Mytilus edulis: one gene and its partner. The protein of the gene in region 1 purifies or fractionates together with the protein of each later gene. This does not show direct contact. Links are inferred from orthologs where the notes say so. Each region holds a gene or a part of one and is shown on either strand. Other genes may lie near its edges.

The links. The genes of interacting proteins can lie anywhere in the genome.
Region 2: the proteins of NHP2-like protein 1 (region 1) and nucleolar protein 56-like fractionate together in Homo sapiens (co-fractionation; 3 studies listed by BioGRID, with this or other methods). This does not show direct contact. The link is inferred for Mytilus edulis from reciprocal best matches to the Homo sapiens genes SNU13 and NOP56.

The regions. Positions count from the first base shown.
Region 1 is NC_092352.1:86,752,621-86,763,455, forward strand, and holds the start of NHP2-like protein 1, read left to right. Parts: upstream 1-5,711; 5' UTR 5,712-5,827; coding exon 5,828-5,830; intron 5,831-8,826; coding exon 8,827-8,944; intron 8,945-9,526; coding exon 9,527-9,630; intron 9,631-10,835. Other genes in the region: meiotic recombination protein DMC1/LIM15 homolog, read right to left, coding at 465-537, 1,137-1,231, 2,496-2,578, 2,849-2,944, 3,089-3,139, 3,887-3,931, 4,583-4,642.
Region 2 is NC_092347.1:5,497,258-5,506,534, reverse strand, and holds the start of nucleolar protein 56-like, read right to left. Parts: upstream 4,989-9,277; 5' UTR 4,895-4,988; coding exon 4,892-4,894; intron 2,656-4,891; coding exon 2,448-2,655; intron 1-2,447. Other genes in the region: polycomb group RING finger protein 1-like, read left to right, coding at 7,091-7,432, 8,054-8,158, 8,973-9,114. UniProt on the Homo sapiens protein: Involved in the early to middle stages of 60S ribosomal subunit biogenesis. Required for the biogenesis of box C/D snoRNAs such U3, U8 and U14 snoRNAs. Part of the small subunit (SSU) processome, first precursor of the small eukaryotic ribosomal subunit.

The DNA of each region.
Region 1 (10,835 bases):
AAGTCATGGTGCATAAAAAGATATTCAGCCAATGTTAACTTTAAACTATATTCTGTTTCTAAGCTTTGCAGGATTAGGTTTGTACAAGTTTTATTAAAGTGAGAGTTGTTAATTGAATTGCTTGGAGTCCTCTTTAAACAGTTGCAGCACACATGGGGGAATTCCTACAAATATGTTGAGCAAAATTTTTTGTTGTGCATTTTAGTGAATTGTAGATTTTACTTATATTCTGCAGATATTGTTTAAAAAAAAAGAAGACTTCATATGGCTTTTTTCCTTATTTCTAAGTTCTGATTCTTTTTTGTTCTTTCCAACATAAGCCACTTTATCAACCCCTATATTAGTCAAAACTGTTTTTTTCACTGGTTGTCAAGCAACTTAATCTAATTCAATTCTTGCACTATGTAATTATTTTTTAATTTTTAGGACACATTTCAGCAGTAATCAATAAATTGTTTGGATACAAGGTATTCTCAGTATCAATAAGAACCACTTTGCCACCTGTATATCCATTGGCTCCAGGAAGCTGTGCTGTTACTGAAATAATAAGTACATATTTTTGTACTGATGTGAAATCACTTTTTAAAAAAATTGTCACAGACAGATGTTCTTATTTTACTTTTAAAAACATAAATTTTTAAAATTTCTAAATTTCCCCAAAGAAGAACTTCCCATCAGTTTTTTATAATACCATTCAAGGAAAAATATTTCTTAAAACGCCTCCACTTTGTTCTTTTGTCAATAGTAATTTTCATGGATATCTCATTTTCATTCTGTTCTACATTTGTAATTTTTAATATACTGCAGCTATAAAATAAAACATACAGGTTCGTGGAAATTTTACGTCTTCCACTCAGAATTAAGAAATGATGGTTTTTTCCCTAAATTCTTCATTTAGAACAGTTATAAGAGTTGCAGCATATAAAGAATGACCATACATTGTCTCGAAATATTAATGTTATTTGTAAAAGGCTTAGAAACAGGTAGAAAGCGAGGCTGTGCCTTTAGTTCATGTGTTGCTCTCAGACAAGTGATTTTGAATGTGTTTTGGCAGTCTTTATATTTTACTCTGTATAAAACATATCAAACATGAAAAGCAAATTATATTCTCAGCATATAAATTATTAAACGCTTACCACACATTGTATGAGACAGCTGTGTTTTCCCTGTTCTGAATTCACCAAAGGCTTCAGTTATTGCCATGCTTTCTAATCCTCCTCCACAAAGTTTACTGAAAGGAAATTTCTTCTAATAAATCTTAAATAGCAATTTGAAATTAATCATGCGTATAAGGAATACAATGGTGTATATTTCAACTAAATAATATTTTCTACTGCAGCAGGTTTATCTAATACAGAAACATAATGCTAAGCTACCAAGGAAGTGGCAAGTGTTTGGAATATGTATCTATTAAAATTCATTGTGTTAAATCATAAGTTTTAGTTTCTTTACTATATATGTATGGCTGTGCAAGAGATTTGGTAATGTCATTTGACACATGAAGTTCCCAGATACTCAATTTGTGTTTAGCCTTGTCTATCCAATTTTGTGATTCTCAAATTTACTTGATGTAGTTAAGTCAGGAAAAATCCAAGTTTTATTTATTCACGACATTTTTCTACTCGCAAAAATAAATCACTTGCGATATTTAGATAGTTACAGTATAATCAATGTTGCAAAGTAAGAAAGATTTAATTTTCTATTGTAATTGTCGATAACATCTTTTTTTATTACATCCATTGCAATCTTTTTTTTTAATAGAACATTGATATTTTGTTTGCTCTTGTACAAGGCCAAATAAAATAATATGTGCGTTTCCTATATTATCTTTGAAAAAAAAAGGGTAGGTAGGTAGATAGGGATTTTTTTATTTTACATTTTTTTACATTGAGTCTATGGGAGAAAAATTCTTACATTATAAACAATGATTATTGGAAAATGACCAAAAAAACTTTAAGGTAGGCTATTTCTAAGCTTAAAATATAGGGTACTACCCCGTAGGTAGGGAAAAAGGTAAACTCTTATTTTTTTATTTGGCCTAAACATCTATGCAGAGGTTTGTTATGAAATAATTAATTCCTAAATCACATATATTGTCAGAAGTGAAAATTTGTAAAACTTTTATAAATAATTGTGACCCTAGAGAGTCTTCATGATGAACTGTTAAATCTACATGCCCAGAGCTCAATTTTCCAATTTTTTTAGTTAGATTCTGTTGGCGGCCTGTAGATATGATTTTTACAGGCCCGAGAGCAATTTTACTAGCCTGGGCTGCCACTCAGGGTGAAGACTGCAGGCTAGATATTCTTTTGATTTGTAGGGACCCACCTGATATTTTCTCAAAATTAAAGATCCATGCAACATGTGCAAACAATTCTTTAATCAACTTCTAATCTCAGTTTTGTATAATGTATAGAAATATAAAAGATTTTACTTTGCTGTACACATAATGGTATAAAAATAAACAATGTTAGTATAACTAAAAAACTAATTACTCTAATTCTATGCTTCCAGTCGTTATTCTGAAGACAGCTTTTCTTTTATCTGAATACTCTAAAGCTGTCAAAAAACCTGGATCCTGGAAATACAAGAATGAAATGAGGCATCTGCTACTGAAATTAAAAAAAAAATAATAAAATTCTCCTCATTCATCATTAAACTGTTTGACTTTGAAATACTAATTTTTGACTTTTTCAACTGGACCAACTCACTCCTTTGAAAATTAATGCCAGACTTTAATCTTTTTCTGGTGTAACTATGTTCCCTACTTATATATATTTTATTCTTAAAACAGGGAGAACTAGTTTGGGAAAATATATTAGGATGATGACAGTAGGTTAATACATACACAGAGCTTATTTGCAGCTTCTTTGATTTTTTCCATTTTTGCTTCAGAAATTCCTTTTACAGCACAAAGTCTTTTCTTTGTGGTCATTTGGATTCCCTGTAATAATACAATTTTGCATATTTAATGGTTAAAATTTCAAAAAAGTATGAAGAGATAAAAGGTACAATATAATGCACTTGCTATTGTTTGAGATTTGATAATAAATAACGAAGTAGTACTTAAAGTTTATACAATACTTGCCTTTATGGTACATATTCCCACTTGCTTCAGTTTCTTTATGTCAGCTACATTCTATAAATTAAAAAAATAATTAAATGATGCAAATATAAATGACACAAAGTTTGGATGGGATTTCCTTGCTGCTTTGAAGACCCATTGTTGGTTGTGGGCTGTGGTTTGCAATTTGGGCGAGTTGATGTCTCTTTGACGCATACCCCAATTTCCTTTCTAACAATTCACATTGAAAAAAGGTTTGGAATATATTGGTTCCATTCCTTCATCTGTTTTACTAAAGCAGAGAATAATAAAAAAAAAAACTCCATATAAAATCTAACATATTTTCTAAGGCACCTATACTGTTTACATCCATTTCAAACATTGAACTGTGCTCAGCAGTAAAATCTTTCTACCTCAATCGTCTTTTGTGATTACAAAATACTTGTACACATGTCAGAGAAAAAGACTGAGATGTAGTTTGAACCTAGATAAGAAAAATTACCTCTTCTTGAAATTCAGAGTAGCAAAACTAGTTTGGAGACCATCTAAATATGTTTTGACTATAGGATGAATGTAAAATCATATAAAATTTCTGATATTGTAATAGAGTACACATTATTGTTCTTGTACAAACGCAACTTTAAACTTTTCTATACATTTTCCAACTGGGAACATCCTGAATTAACAGTATTTGGATTATAGCTGTTGTTAACAATTAAGATGCCCATCCCCCTTTTAAGCACTATAACCTTGATAAATGGTGCTAGCTATAATATATATCAACTATTCTATATTAAATGACTTATATCAGTTAAGACTTACAATTCCATGATTCTGCAGAAGATCTATGTCCTGGAAAAGTGATTCCTGAAATAGTAAATGATTAACGACATAAACACTCCCCTCAACTGGGACGTACTAGCTATCATTCTAAAAGAAATAGGAAGCTGAAGAACATAATATTAATTGAAACTGTCTTCTGGCATGTTATAACCTGTACTGTTGATTTGAATTTTCTCTACATTTTCAGCTCAACCATTAGAGTGCACTCCTTATATATATAAGAACAAATATGTATAAATGTAACATCACTGTAGGTCTATAGGTGAAAAATACTGATCACATCTATCAGCTGAGTGAGCGTTGCCTTGTCATCATTTGCATCTCATTTTATGTTAATATGTCCTTGAAAACAGATTAATAGACTTCTACTATACTTGCACAAATTCTCCACAATTAAAGTGGTGCACCTGCTATTTCATTTTTTGACACAAGCAATTGTGACACTAGGAATTTCTTATACCAAAACATTTTAAATGTAAATCATTTGTACAAATGTAGGTACGGTAGCAGCCAACACATTTTTTCCAAGGGAAAACTCATAAATTATATTTTAATATTTGTTTATTGTTATTCCAATAAAAATAAATAAAGAGACTGGACTAGAGTTTGCAGAGAGAGTAAATAATATGGTTAAACTAATTTCAAAGAGTTGTTACTCAATGCAAGGAGCCATACCTCTTCATCATCTTCATTCACAACTAATTCTTCTTCAACAACCTGGTCTTCCTGCTGCATGATTTTCTCTATAAAAAAAAATCTCGATTTTTTCAAAATCTCTTCAATAATTACAGCGTTATAATTATCATTGATTTCTAATCACTATCAGTGTCACCAAACAAATTAACAATGACCAAACTGGACACTTCATTGATGAGTTTATTCCAAAACACCTATCAGTAGATGGACTGGTCAATGATGAACGCACCGTTTTAACTCCGCCCAGTCAAGTGAAATAAATCAAGTAAGACATAATCTAAAAGCAATGTAAGGGAGATAATTCATATAAAACATTGTAATTAGTGTTGTTTAAATTTTTAATGTTTATTTATCAAACAAAACAAATTCTATAGCCTCAAATCACAAAAATTACTTCCCTTTGTCAATCGTAGAATGGTTCTATACTAGACAAAATTGGCTTTTGCCAATGCAAAGCAGTGGCAGATCGAGGGTGTGTGTTGAGGGTTGGAACCCCCCTTTTTTTTGGACGATCAATGCATTTGAATTAGGACATGTGGTTGGAACACACACCCCCCCTCCCTTTTCGTGGAAAAAATTTGGTTGATTATATAGGTAATCACTGAAGCATGACTGGATCGCCACCCCCCTTTTAGGTCAGTTAGCGGGCCCCCCTTAGGTCAAGTTCTGGATCCGCCACTGTCAAATATATTTCATTGCTAATCAAAGCACCCACAAGGAGCAGAACAATCAACATTAATTACATACAAATGATTACACAAGTGATTCAATTATATGATTAAGACACAATGTCAATGTTATAAAAAATATTTATTAAGACAAGTAGAAGAATACAACAACTTGACAAGCACAGTGTTTAATAATATATAAACTAGGTTAAAAAAAGGTTATTCATGAAGTTGATGCTTAGCTCTCAACTATTCAGATTTACAAAAACCTTGAAGTATGGGAAAACTAGAACAGTCATAAACTTTCTTACATAGTTCTTCTGCACGCCAGTTACCAACTTGCTCTTTCTGCTACAAAACTTGTCGTCTGCTAACACGTGCGAGATAATCGACGTCTTTAAAATGTTTGTATATTTATTTTAAGTCCGTAACAATAAACCCTTTAAATACGTCGATTGTTAAATCAACATCCGGTTTTTAACACGAGGCACAAACGAAAACATTACCACGAGGCCCAGTGAAGCTTTCAGCCGAGGGAATATTTTGAACAACAATCATGGTAAAACACCTTTACAATATAGTATTTTTGTCACAACCTTAATATGCTTGAATTGAAATTTTATTTGTAATAGAAAACATCAACCAAAAGGCGCATTTCAACCTTGAAAAGATTGATAAATGATTTGTTAATAAAAAAAAAGGGGGGTCGTATGGTATACTTTCTTTCAGAGGTAGCATTAAAAAAAGAAAGTTATTAACTGGCGTTCCCAAAGTATAATGTCCATAACCATATAATAATAACAATAAAGCTTGATATAACAAAGGTAGCTCATTTAATTATTAATTTAATAATACCAATGACATGTCAATCTTTAATACCTGAGGCCTTTTCGAATGATGACCTCAGCATACACATGGTATGATCTATTAACTTATCAGAAAATTATATACTATCATGCATGTTATTCAATCCATCTTGTATGGGAAAGGATTTGTATAGGCACTGCCTTTTGTCCAATCCCTTTGTTTAAATGTACATTTGATATTTGAACAATAAAATATTGGCACTGGCTACGGTTACATGGAAATGTAACAATAATAATAATATTATTGTTACATTGGAGACTAAATGCCGAAACGCAAAGTCGGGTAAGGAACCGATTAATTACGAATGTAACAATAATTACTGAGGCTACGGTTACATTGCGTTATTGTTACACGAAAAACAGCAATATACGATGGGTCTATTAAAATGTACAAGATAATAAAAAAGACATTTATTTTATATTTACAATACTATAGTGTTATTAACTGGCTGTTTCTGTATTGGCACTGGTATAGATTCAAGGTTTGCTGTATTGGCCTCGAGACCTGTAGGGTCGAGGGCCAATACAGCTGACCGAGAATCTATACCAGTGCCAATACAGAAACAGCCAGTTCATAACACTTTTATTAAATGATTATAAGAGAATTAAAAACCGGAAGTGAACGTCCCGTATTAGCCCATGGGCCAATACAGCTTTTTTCCCGCTTTTTTCTGTATTTGCCCTGTTTTTTCCGTTTGAAAACATTAAGACATTACAAAACATTGCACATCATTTAACCTGTTTATTTTATGACTTTAATTTAAAAATTATTATACAAATGTTTTTATGCATAACGATACTTCAAGAGTAAAGTAATGGCGTAAGAAAATTGAAAACCGGAAGTGAACGTCCTGTATTGCCCTAGGGCTAATACGACTTTTTTCCCGCTTTTTTCTGTATTGGCCCTGTTCGAAGAGCAATATTAACTCTTGATTTATATCGACAGTGGAACGTTTTTAGTATTGCACATGCTGATTTATCCGTATTAGGGCTTATTTGCTCATATCATTTAATAAATACAATTATTAAATATAAATTCTTTAATTATTTATTTGCAATGACATTTTCTACATATCCAGTAAGTGGTTTTTGGAGCATTTCTAAGTCCGACACATTTTTGGTGAAACCACTCCAAGCAGCCATCACACACCAGTGATGCCGCACTGTGAACGTCCGTATCACACACTGTACAGTTCCATTCTGCGATATCCCGTTTTGATGATAAGGCAACCTTTCATGTTTGCCATGCTTCCGATGAGAAATACTTTTTCACTCTAGCAATGTTTATATTCTCATCTAATATTTTGGTTGGAAACATGTGATGTAGTTTTATGTCATCTTTCAGTATGGTCACATTGCCGTCCATTACGGATGTAAGGTTTACCTCGGATTTCAGTATCCAACTTAGCATAGCTGAAAAAAACAATAAATTATAAAAATGCAAGTCAAAAGTCAAAAGTTCATCAAATACTAATAAATAGTGAATTATTTTCCATTATTCAAACTGACATCGCCATGGCTAAAAAGTAAAAAGGCAAAACATACAAATAAAAGTAAAAAAAACACAACATGGAAAACTACAGACTAAGAAACACGAACCCTATCAAAAACTGGGGGTATATCAACTGTCCATTTTTTTAAAAAGTTATTTACCTTCTTCTTTTTCCTTTGGTCGTCTTTTAAGAAACGGCATGACTCTCTTCGTACTTTTGGGCAATCCAACGACGCAATCTCGCATGAATATAATGACCCATTGATATTCGTTTATAGGTTAAACTTAACTTACCTTTGGTTTGGACGAGCTCCATCTGATTTTGAAACGACATTACGTCCTCCGTGGATACATGTATACAGAAGTTCACAGTATTTTACTTCACAGTTAGCAAACTTTGCTATAGATGAATCATTTTTTTTAGAACTGTGTTTGTATAGCTGAATGAAATTTGTGTCTTGATATTGTTTCAGTTTTGTTTCAAACGAATCCCAAGTTTTAAATTGTTCACCCAAAACAAAATTGGTCACAGGAATCTCTTCATCCATTGTGTAAAGTAAAATGACAGTTATACGAGTAGGTGTGCAGTTAAATACTTAAACTAAAGTGAACACTTTTCTCAGCCCGAGTTCTCAACAACAAATCATTGGACTATATTTTCGCCTTTGGCACTACTTATCTAAAGTAGTATCTTTAAAACACCAAATGTGACCATTTATACGTTAAAAAGACCAATTTAAACACCATTTGTTAATCGATAATATTTATTACTTATCATTATTACAAGTATTATTTCGTACAGATGCAAGATTAAGGCAACCGTTAAACCATAGAAGATTTAAGTTTAATAAATCGAGCGTACATTGCTGTTTTTCATGTAACAATAACGCAATGTAACCGTAGCCTCAATAATTATTGTTACATTCGTAATTAATCGGTTCCTTATCCGACTTTGAATTCCGGCATTTAGTCTCCAATGTAACAATAATATTTTTATTATTGTTACATTTCCATGTAACCGTAGCCAGTGCCTAAAATATTTTGAATTGAATACACATGGCATACACTCAAAAATCCTTATTATAGACCTTAAATAAGAAAGCGCAAAATGGATAAAAGATAAATATAAATTCAACATTTTTCTGCCATACATGGCATCTGTTACTTAATGTTAATATATTTGTATTTTTATTTCAGACTGAAGAAGTAAATCCTAAAGCTTATCCATTAGCTGATCCAAACTTAACTCAGAAAATATTGGACTTGGTACAGAAGGCAGCCAGCTGTAAAGAATTGAGGAAAGGAGCCAATGAAGGTATAATCAATCATAAAAGCCAATATCTAAACCTTCCATTGGTCAAATCTTATTGTGTTTGTATACATCTTCCTTCATGAAAACATTCGAAAAAATTCTGAAAACAAATGAAGAACAAAGAAATGCAAAGCATTGTATTTGGTATTTTTCATGTGCTATACATGTACAAACTTGTGCACATGTATCCATTTGAAAGACACTCAAATCTAGCTTAAAAGTGAAAAAAATACATGTATAACTGAGATAACTCTATCTCTGTTTTTCAAATATGGTATAGAAAATTTGAATGAAATAAAAAGATATTGTCTTTTTTTTTAAATGACTAAATGTCATATCTGATACTCGTATAGTACTTTTTTAAATGCCTGAAATTATATTAAAAGCATAGATTGGCAAAAATAGAAAATTCAAATAAGATCATGAATAAACTTGATAACTTGTACAATCAAAATTTCAAAGCCTATTGGCAACTATAACAATACTGTGAGAATACTATCAAACTAAAAAATGGTAAGAATACTTTAAATAGATGACAAAATTTTCCTTGCTGAGTTAGTTTTAATTTACTGTATTTGTTTACAGCCACAAAGACCTTAAACAGAGGAATTTCAGAGTTTATTGTGATGGCTGCAGATGCTGAACCTTTGGAGATTTTGTTACATCTTCCTTTACTGTGTGAAGACAAGGTAAAAAGTACATCTTCTTGTGTACAATTGTGTTGTATGAATAAGGAGATAAGTTATGATTCCCAATTAGACAATAACATTTGTAAATATCAAAATTCAAATGAATTGGATGTACATTATTGTAGGCCACCGTACAACCTGCCACAACACCCCATACTATATAATGTCTGGTTGAAAAGGCCCATACATGAAAGTGCAAAACATTCACTAGAAAAAACTTTTTTAATTTATAACAAAACAATTTAAGAAAGATCAATTTGACAGACATGAACCAAAGACAAGAATTTAACTACAGACACTTAAAGAATGATGCAGTACAAATAGTAACAATTGAAAATGATGATCTCAGCCACTAAACTGAGCAGGGATAAATGTAGGGGGTGTTTCATAAGAAAAAAAGTACATTTAAAATGTTTAAGAATTTCCATTATGGATAGTATTGCTTTCCAATTTTTTGTATAAAGTCAGACTTGGCCACATGTCAGTGATATTGTTTGCCTCAAATTACAGCCGAAATTCTGCCTTTTCCCCTGGAGAAAATTCCCAATTACTAAAAAAAAAAAACTTAAAATTCCTCCCAAAAAGTTTTACATTTTCCCAAAACAGTGATGGCATTGGTAGTAATATTTGTAAATTTCGTATTCATGTTATTATTTTGATATTAAATTACCAGTTTTCTGATCAGAATCATCATGGTGTTTGTAACACAGATGGTTTTCAATGCATTAAGTACCATCATTGTTGGTTTCTTTCCCCTCTATGAAAAGTACCTTTCTGGTTGAAATTGTCTGACAACCAAAATATACATGAAAAAACAGTGCAAAAAAGACAGCAAAGGTCAGCAAAAAATAGAGATGAGTTAAGAATCAAAAATATACAAATTTCCCAATTTCAATAAAAAAATATGCAATTTTCCCAATAAAAAAACGGTAGAGGTACATGTAGTTTTGAAAAAAGACAACAGTATCACTGCATGTATGCCTATGTCTGCTATGCCATTTGTCTCATTTTAAGTTCAAGGAAGTTCACATTTAAGTTATGATCACATTATCTTGAAACTAATCTAGAACTGTTACTCTCACTTTCTTAATCAAATTTAGAGCCCCTTCCCACCAGACATGGCTAGGGGTACATATTTTTGTATTATCAGATAAAAGTAATGGATCTATAAAACAAATTCTCATCCATTTTAAAAGAACATATAC
Region 2 (9,277 bases), on another chromosome or scaffold:
CTGTCGTCAAGAACAGGGCGACTTGTTTTCGCTTTTGGAGGTCGGGGAAAGCGAAGTGACGATCGGGAAGGCGACTTCTTCGCCCAAGTCGCCTGGTAGCGTGAGCCCTGGGAGATTGGGACTCAGATCAGGAGGTTTTTTATCGACATTAATTTTGTCGTTAATCATATAATGTAACCGTACAATGTAGAAATTGTCTTTAAAGTGTTCTTTCATTTACATCATAATGTAATGTTTTTATACACCCTAGTACCCTTGTTGCCTTTCTATTGAATCTATCTGAATGATTATCAAATAAAAATATTGAGAAGAATCTGTTTCTTGTTTAGTGTTGTGTTTGAAAATTAATTGTTCACTGCTTGCAAATAAATGATTATATACAAATAAGAAAGAAATATGCTATACATGTATATTTTAAACATCATAAATTAATTTAAAAATAACTAACAATAACAATAGTAAATTGTATGCTTTTTTTAGCATTATAAAAGTAATTTTTCTAGAAATTTGAGACTCTGTGCTAAATATTTTGCTTTATTTAGTTGAAAGACCGATAATCTATTTTACTGACCAAAATTATTGAGACATTTCTACACCTTTTGTTTAAGGGATACAGAGTTTTATTCAGTCTGTTTTTTTTTTTATCTTTATTCTTACAATTCTGCATATTAATAGAATATTTTAAGGTCAGAATTCTTATATAAATTTCAATTTAATCTTTGAAAAGAAGTCTAGATTCCCACAATATTTTGTAAATTTATATTATTTTGTTTGTCCAAAACATTTGAGTTCATTTAATTACCATCCTTTTATGGTTATTTGATTAAAATATAATTCATTTATTTTACAATTTACATTTTTGAACGATAAATAACTTATAATAGGATAAATCAAAGGGAAGTAACCAAAATTTATTTCAAAAATTTAATGCACAAAGTTTTTATCACACAACGGCAATTAGCGATCATTAGCCAGACGTAAGCATCGTTGATTACCAGTATGTTTGACACCCAAGCTGTCAAGAGAAGCCATATAATTACACATCTTCTTTGATTTACAGGTAAAAATTTGACACAGGTGTAAATTACACCTGTACCGTAGTAAGAGATTATCAAAAATGGAAGCTGAAAATTTTCTTTCATGAAATATTTCATACACGGGATTTTTTTTTCCTTAACGGGAGGACGGGAGGAGACCCCTGAAAACGGGAGTCGGGAGGTTCACATGTATGCTATCAATTCCAAGTTTACTTTCCACAGCAGACAGTCAGTGAGAGTGAGAGAAGGTATTTCACTTCGTATCTTATCATCGTTAATTCTAGGAGGAACACAATTTCTAACGCTTTAAAAATTATTTTTTGGGGTCAGTGGGAACGACTCCTTTCTGTACACACTCCTCTGTTGAAATTAAGATCATTCGTCATATGATACGACGTTTATCGACATCTAACAACTTAATTTTTCTTGACGAGTCGTAGTGTATTTTGTTGACGGAAAATACTTCTTGAAGGCCAGAGTGGAGACAACTCGAAACGATAATATGGAAGATTCCATTTCGGCTGAAGGGGTGTTATAGGTAAACATATAATTTAAATGTAAATATTTTTATTTAAATGATGCATATAATTTAAAATCATGCAACAACAATAACCCTCGATAGCAGACAGACATAGAAAGAATCCCATGAGTTTCAAATTAATCAATGAAGTGGGGAATCCAGAGCAACCACTCAATCTCATACCCCTTGAAATCAAGAAAACTATACGCATGCGCATTAATACATAAACAAACCCCCCGACTTGCGACTTGGAACAAGAACATTTATTAAATGATATGATGAATGGTTCTCCATTTCTTTATGAGAGTACAGTATCAAATATCAGCTTCATAACGGTTAAATATAGAAAAACTCCACTTCAGTTCTTATATGACAGAAATAGAATTATCGGAATTCAGAGAACTCTCGCATTTATCTAAACTGGGGAAATCCCTCTGACGTGTTTCTAAATTTATAAAAACACTAAATATTAATACTGCTCAATTTTGATTTTCCGTGTTGTTAAAAACACGCATATAAGTCAAGGGAAATATTAAACATGAAGATTATGAGAAGAACATTACAGGAAAGTTGTTTATGTTCATTTTTTTGCTTCTTTTTACCATTTAAAGCAAGACAATCATAAGAATCTGAGATGTTGCTGAATGTTTAGAATAAAACGGTTGACGTGAGGGAATGAGCCCTGAGTCAACTGTAAAAGTCTACAGATTGCTTGAAAGCAATCGTATCCCAAAAATAGAAAAGGTAAAAACATTAATTTGTTTTGTATAATAAAAAAGAACAAAGAAGGTTAAACTATTTAACTTAGATGTATAAATTTATGCTGAAATATGTAAACTTTAAAGAACTGAAAAATACATCATAAATTTGGCAAAATTTCTAATGTTTACCTTCTGAAACACTATTAATGTTGTCCAATGCATTGGTACCACTTTTGAATGGTGAGAAAGCCACTAGTTTGACAACAGACTGGAACTTGCTGAGATCTGTTACACATTTCTCTACCTGACTCTGTAATACTGATACCTCTTCAAATTCTTTCACTCTGAACAGAGCATACCCTGACGCATGTTCATACAAAATAAACAATACTTGAGCCTGAAAAGATAAAACTTTTTACAATAATTTATTATTTATACTACATTAATACATGTAATAGTCAGGATTTTAAATGATTTTCATATGTCCATCTTATATATATATCTAAAAATTTTGTAAGATGTTCTGTGATTGCTGTTGTCCAAGTTTCATAAGTTTCCATGAAAGTTTACTAATTAACTTGCCAAATACATTTAATCTCAGACTGTCTATGAATATTTACTGTAAAAAACTAAGTCCATCTACCTAAAAACTATATTCTTAAAAGTTTGCTTTGGATACTATCTCTAAATCATTAAAAATCTTCTGCCAGTTTTATTGAACATTACACAAAGTAATTGATGTGCAACAAACACTCTAGACTGTACATTGTATCTACTTGATAAAGTCGTATGAGCCGCAAAATTAAACTAAATTGATGCACATGTTTTTTTATAACTAAATGGATAGTTTTCATTATATAAATTTTGCTCTGATTTAAACTGTATTTTTGTTATACACTAGCTTCTGTCCAGATTTCAAGATGACATGAAAGTAAGACAATGTAATTCAACTTCGACTTCATTACTCGTCAAAATCCATACAGGACATATAATAATGAGGATGTCTTACAAAAACTTGAACCACAGACTGAACCTAAATGTTGATTCCACTGATGACAGAATTAAGATTGGCTATATTTGGTGATATCAGGTTTGTTTGAGCCCAGTACTTTCACACCCTACACGTTTGCGTCCAAGGTACATCTGCCCCTACATGTTCACACCCAATTTTTAATATTTTCCAGTTGAATAGTTAAAATTTATATGTATATTTACACCATAAAACAAAAGTTTCCTGAATAAAATTGGTGAATTACTATATATGAAATGTCGTTTTTATTAATTTGAAGATTACCTATTAAATTTTACTTATGTATAATAATTGCTAATTGGTATTTATACACAGCTATTGTATGTTTAATAATCATGATGAATTGTTGTTTGAACTTGCTTTGATGTAAAAAACAAAAACAAAAACATCAAAAACTAGATGTTGACATAATGTCACTCTATTTAGAACCAATGATTTTTTTTTTTTTTTTTATTAATTTTACAGCAAAGCATACACTAACCAAAACACTATTTAAGATTTATTCAGCATTAAAAAAAAACCGCAAGAATCTCACTTTATTTTGAAACATAAAAAAAGCTACCAGTAACCAAAACTTGATTAAGATTTATTCAACACAAAAAAAAACCAGTGAGATTAGAGAACCACTTTTTATCTGAAACAATGAAGAAAAATATTTACATATTATATACACAAGTTAACCAAACTTGATTGATTACAAAATTATTAATCACAAACCAATAAAAAGGGTGCAAAGACTTAGGGCATGAACATGTGGGGTGCGAAAGTAAAAGAGTGTGAATGTCAATGTGAATGGGTGTGAATATGTATGTACATGCTGCAAGTAAGTGGTTCATGTATGGTGAGATACAAAGAAAAATAAATAAATAATGCAGGCTTTTTCAAAAATGATAGGTCTCCCACATTTAATATCAAAATTTTTTGTTTTCAATCAGGTTTGAACCAATCAAATATAAGGCAGCAACCATTTGATTTTCGGGGGGGGGGGGGGGGGGGGGCTATGGTTTTTTTTTCTGGACAAATTTTTTTTCGACAAGTCGAAAACAATTTTGTTCTTTCAATTTTATCATTACATATAGTGGCAGCTGAGGGTGAAACAAACATTTTTTTTTTCTCAGAATCAAAAACAAATTATTTTTTTCTCCAAAAACTGGAAACAAACTTTTTTTTCCACAAAAAACCATAGCCCCCCATGAAAAATCAAATGGTTGCTGCCTAAGGGAACGACCAGAACCAAATCAAATTGGTGACAGCCAACCCCCCTCCAACCCCTCAATTAAATATATATTTTTTTTCGCTATGTCAATGTACAGAAACACTCCAACAGTATACATCTATAACGCGTCAGTGAAAAACAACCATATCGTACATGTATACCAGCTGATGGTATGCTTTTAAACTGCGCTCAAAATAAATCAGACCACATGTCCAGTCGGCATGTGCTGATAATTTCAATAAATCTATGGAAAATAGCACAGTCTAAGCATTGACATTTTGGAATCGAAGATTGCCTATGCAAAGTTTTGTACTTAAACATGTTATGTATAAAATAAGATAATTAGATTTGTGCATGTACTCAAAAAGTTAAAAGCCACGTGCTCACCATCTTTACAAACAATTTTCGCCATTCACTAAGAATAGTCCTTATCTTAAATGATTTTTCATTGGTTCTTTTCACACAGATCTCAGGAAATGGCCAATAAGGAGAGGTCTTACAAACCCTGTGATAGGCGGAAGTTTACAATGGCGTCTGCATTTAAAAAGTCAGTTACAAAATGCAACTTTTCCGTGTTTTAAGGTTAAACAACAGTCGTAAGGTTGGTTATGGGGTAAAACATAAAACAAGAATGACCAGATTAATGAATAGCAATACCACAAAATTCTAATAATAAGGAGATATGCATGAACTATTCATCAGACTAAAGAGAAGAGTGCTGATTTTCTAAATTTTAATTTTTACTTAGAACATCATCATGTAGATGTAATCAGCTAACAGTATATTTCAATATATATATACCTGATGTAATAAAAAATAAGAAACGAATTGAAGTACCGCACAACCTTAATCACAGGAATTAAAGTTATACCTTAAAACTATAAAAAGTTCTGCTATCCCAATGGAGTGCTCAAATTCGCATACAAATTCGGCCCAAACACCTTATCGCTATTTGTCTGTCATTACTGGAGATCACACAGGTTTCTGTAAAATTTTGATGTCCTAAAACAAAATATCTGACGCCGCAATCATGGCAATGGAAAAGTGATTGTTGTATGCGTCAAAAGTTCAAGTGGCCGGGTCAGCGGGTTTTAGCGATAAGGTGTTTTAATTTGACACCCCTTGGTATGGTCATCACTATCTCTAGCTGCAGAACCGTAGCTCATAGGTCCTAAAAAAGTAAAAAAATAGCATAAGTACTAGTCCAAATAATTATGACCTCTTGAAAGGCTATTATAAGACGTCATAATTATTTGGACTACATAAGTACCTATGAGCTAGCATCAGGTCTGTTTAACAGCTTGTGACAAGTTTGATAGCTGTTAGGAAACTTCTGTCTTTCTGTTACAAGTCTTAGAGTTGAATGACTTAATTATATAAAATCAGCTCATCATGACATTATTCATGATTCACAGGGTGTGAACATGTCAGGTGAGAATGTGAAAGAGAACATGCATTTGGGTGAACAGACTCAGGTTCGATAACAGATTGGGAACAAAACCCCCTATATCAAACTTAAGAACATAAGTAATCTGATCTTAATAATATTGCACTTGTTTTGCAAGGAAGATGTCATGCTGATACTCGCAAATGCAAACTTGAATGGGCTTTGCTCATTGTTGAAGGCTGTATGGTGACCTATAGTTGTTAATTTCTGTGTCATTTTGGTCTCTTGTGGAGAGTTGTCTCATTGGCAATCATAGCACATCTTCTTTTTTTATATTGAATACTTACATGTACCTTGAAGTGAATTTATTCACCTGTCACAATAATGAAAGAGGGACGAAATATACCAGAGGGACAGTCAAACTCATAAATTGAAAATAAACTGACAACACTTGGCTAAAATTGAAAGAAGACTAACAGACAAACAATAAAACACATGACATAACATAGAAAACTAAAGAATAAGCGACATGAACGCCACCAAAAACTAGAGGTGATCTAAGGTGCTCTGGAAGGGTAAGCAGATGTGTCCACATGTGGCACCTGTCGTGTTGCTTATGTTTTAAAAAATCCGGTAATTTAGCCTAATTCGGTAGGTCATATTCATGAAAGGGATGAGGATTGTAGTTAGGACTTACATGACTTAAAGAACATATCCGATATCATTTGTGAAACCGTTATTCCATAACGGTCAACCAACGTGTGATGGCTTTCATAAAATTTACGAAGGGATGATTTCAACTTCACCATTTGGAACTCGTGGTTTAAAAGCTTCCTTGTAGCAGCAACCCTCTATCAAGGAAATCATGATGGGAAATGCAATGCAATAAACCATCGTAAACTAACCATCATACCTTAGTAAAATATTGATCTATATGTATATTTCAATCATTCTACCAAACAAAAATTACACAAGATAGAGAAGACTATTAGGGGAGGAATATATTTATGTCTAGAAACAGACATGAACAAATTGTAGCTACATATACCATGAATTATGCAATTATATCTACCATTAAAAAAAAATATGCTATAAATCATAATATGAATGATTAAGATTGTTGTTCATAATTTACATTAGTATGGTTTATAAATAAAATATAATTGATGCATTTATAAGTTAATATTTGTTTCAGTTCAATGGAAACTTGTGAAACCTCATCAGAGATAAAGGAACAATGTGAAGGAAAATTGTGCTGTGTTTTGTGTGCTAAAAATGAAGAACATATAGTGAATGAAGAAAAGATATCACTTCATTGTCTCCCAGGGACTGATGATGACAGAAGTGAAGTATGGTTAGGGAAAATAAAACAAGCAAAACCAGATGTTCTCATAACCGACCATACAAGACTATGCAACTTACATTTTGAAGACAATATTTGTGATAATGATTCAGTACCCACTATACTTTGTGTAGATTCAATTGAACAAAAAGACAATGCAAAGGATGAAAAGGTTGATGAAAATTTAAATACTACAGAGGTAAAGTATGGACATTTAATATAAGCTTATCTTAGCTGTTTAAATATAACTTCTTTTTTCTTTAACTTACATGTACCTTGGATAGGAACAATTGCAATAGAATAACAAAATATTTCATCTGTTTTCTGCGCTTTGGTAGGGTTGTTGTCACTTTGATATATTCTTCATTTCCATTCTCAATTTTATTCATTTTAAGTAAATAGTTTACATGAGTCATGAGATCTCTTGGCAATATTTTTGTTGAACTAGAATTTTTTTTGCACTGTTATGAACATGTTAAACTTTAATTATCAATTAACAAATGATTAATAATTCATTAGATGTGTCATAATAAACAATTTGGAAATTAGTATGGCGTTCATTATCACTGAACTAGTATATATTTGTTTAGGGGCCAGTTGAAGGACGCCTCCGGGTGCGGGAATTTCTCACTACATTGAAGACCTGTTGGTGACCTTCTGCTGTTGTTTTTTTTCTATGGTCAGGTTGTTGTCTCTTTGGCACATTCCCCATTTCCATTCTCAATTTTATTGAATACGATGTGTTTTTTAAGAAGATAAACAGTATAAATCTTAGTATATAGACTGGATATTATAAAAGTTGTTAATGTGAATTTTTCAGAGCAATCTCAACAATGAAGACACAGAACAACCATCTTGTAGTACAGTCCTTAACAACAGCCAGTCGGAGGAAAAACCAGAAACAAAATTATCTTTGAAAGAACAGGTGGTTAAATCATAATTTTTGTTGTTGATATAGTCAGATTTACCATATAAAATTTGGTTTCAGTAATATGTTGTAATATTGTTAAAGAACTATTTTTATGCCTTGGCCATAGTAGAGGGGGCATTAAGTTGAACCCTTGTCCGTATTTCATCGTCCTGAAATTGATTTACGTTCTCTAACTTTAGTTTGCCTCAACCAAATGTTATGATACTTATACACAATGCTTATTACGACAAAACACATATCAAATTTGAATTTTGTTTGTGTCAGTTTAAATTTCTAGTGTTATGCTCTTTTACAAATTAAAAACTGCTGAATATTTCGTTTCGGCTCTCTCACTTTAGTTTGCCTCAACCAAATGATTATGAATCTTTTACACAATGATTATTACCAAAAAACACAGATCAAGTTTGAATTTTGCTGGCGTCACTTTTACCCTTCTAGAGTTATGTCCCAAAAAATTAAAAACTGCTGAATTTTTTCATTTCGGTTCTCTTACTTAATTTTGCCTCAACCAAATGTTATTAAACTTGTACACAATCCTTATTACCACAAATATCAGATCAAGTAAGAATTTTGTTGGGTCACTTTTATCGTTCTGGAGTTATTTCTTTATGATTAGGTCAGTTTGAGATAAAACATTTAATTGAAGTCAATGATATCTTGTATGAAATTGTTTAAGCATTTACAACTTCTCATTTTCATAGAGATTATTTTGTATCTAAAGTGAGACATAACATGATTGTTACAATAAATTAATACTATGGATGCTCAATTAGATATTTGAAATTTTTATCATAACTTTTATTTTTAGCTAGCTCAAATTCCAGTATGTCCAAGTTTAAGTAAGGAACCAGTGAGTGTGAGATTGTGTGCTATAAATACTTACATCACATGTGCCTTGTGTGGTGGATACCTGTATGAAGCTTCAACCATTACAGAATGCATGCATACGTGTAAGCTCATTTATGTTTATTACTTATCTATTTAAATGATGTGTATTTTTTAATTGATGATTACATTCAAATCATTTTTAAACTTTCTATAACATGCATCTGATCATCAGTGAACATTTTCTTTAGGTCACCATTTTCTAAAAGATCAACAGTTTGATAAATT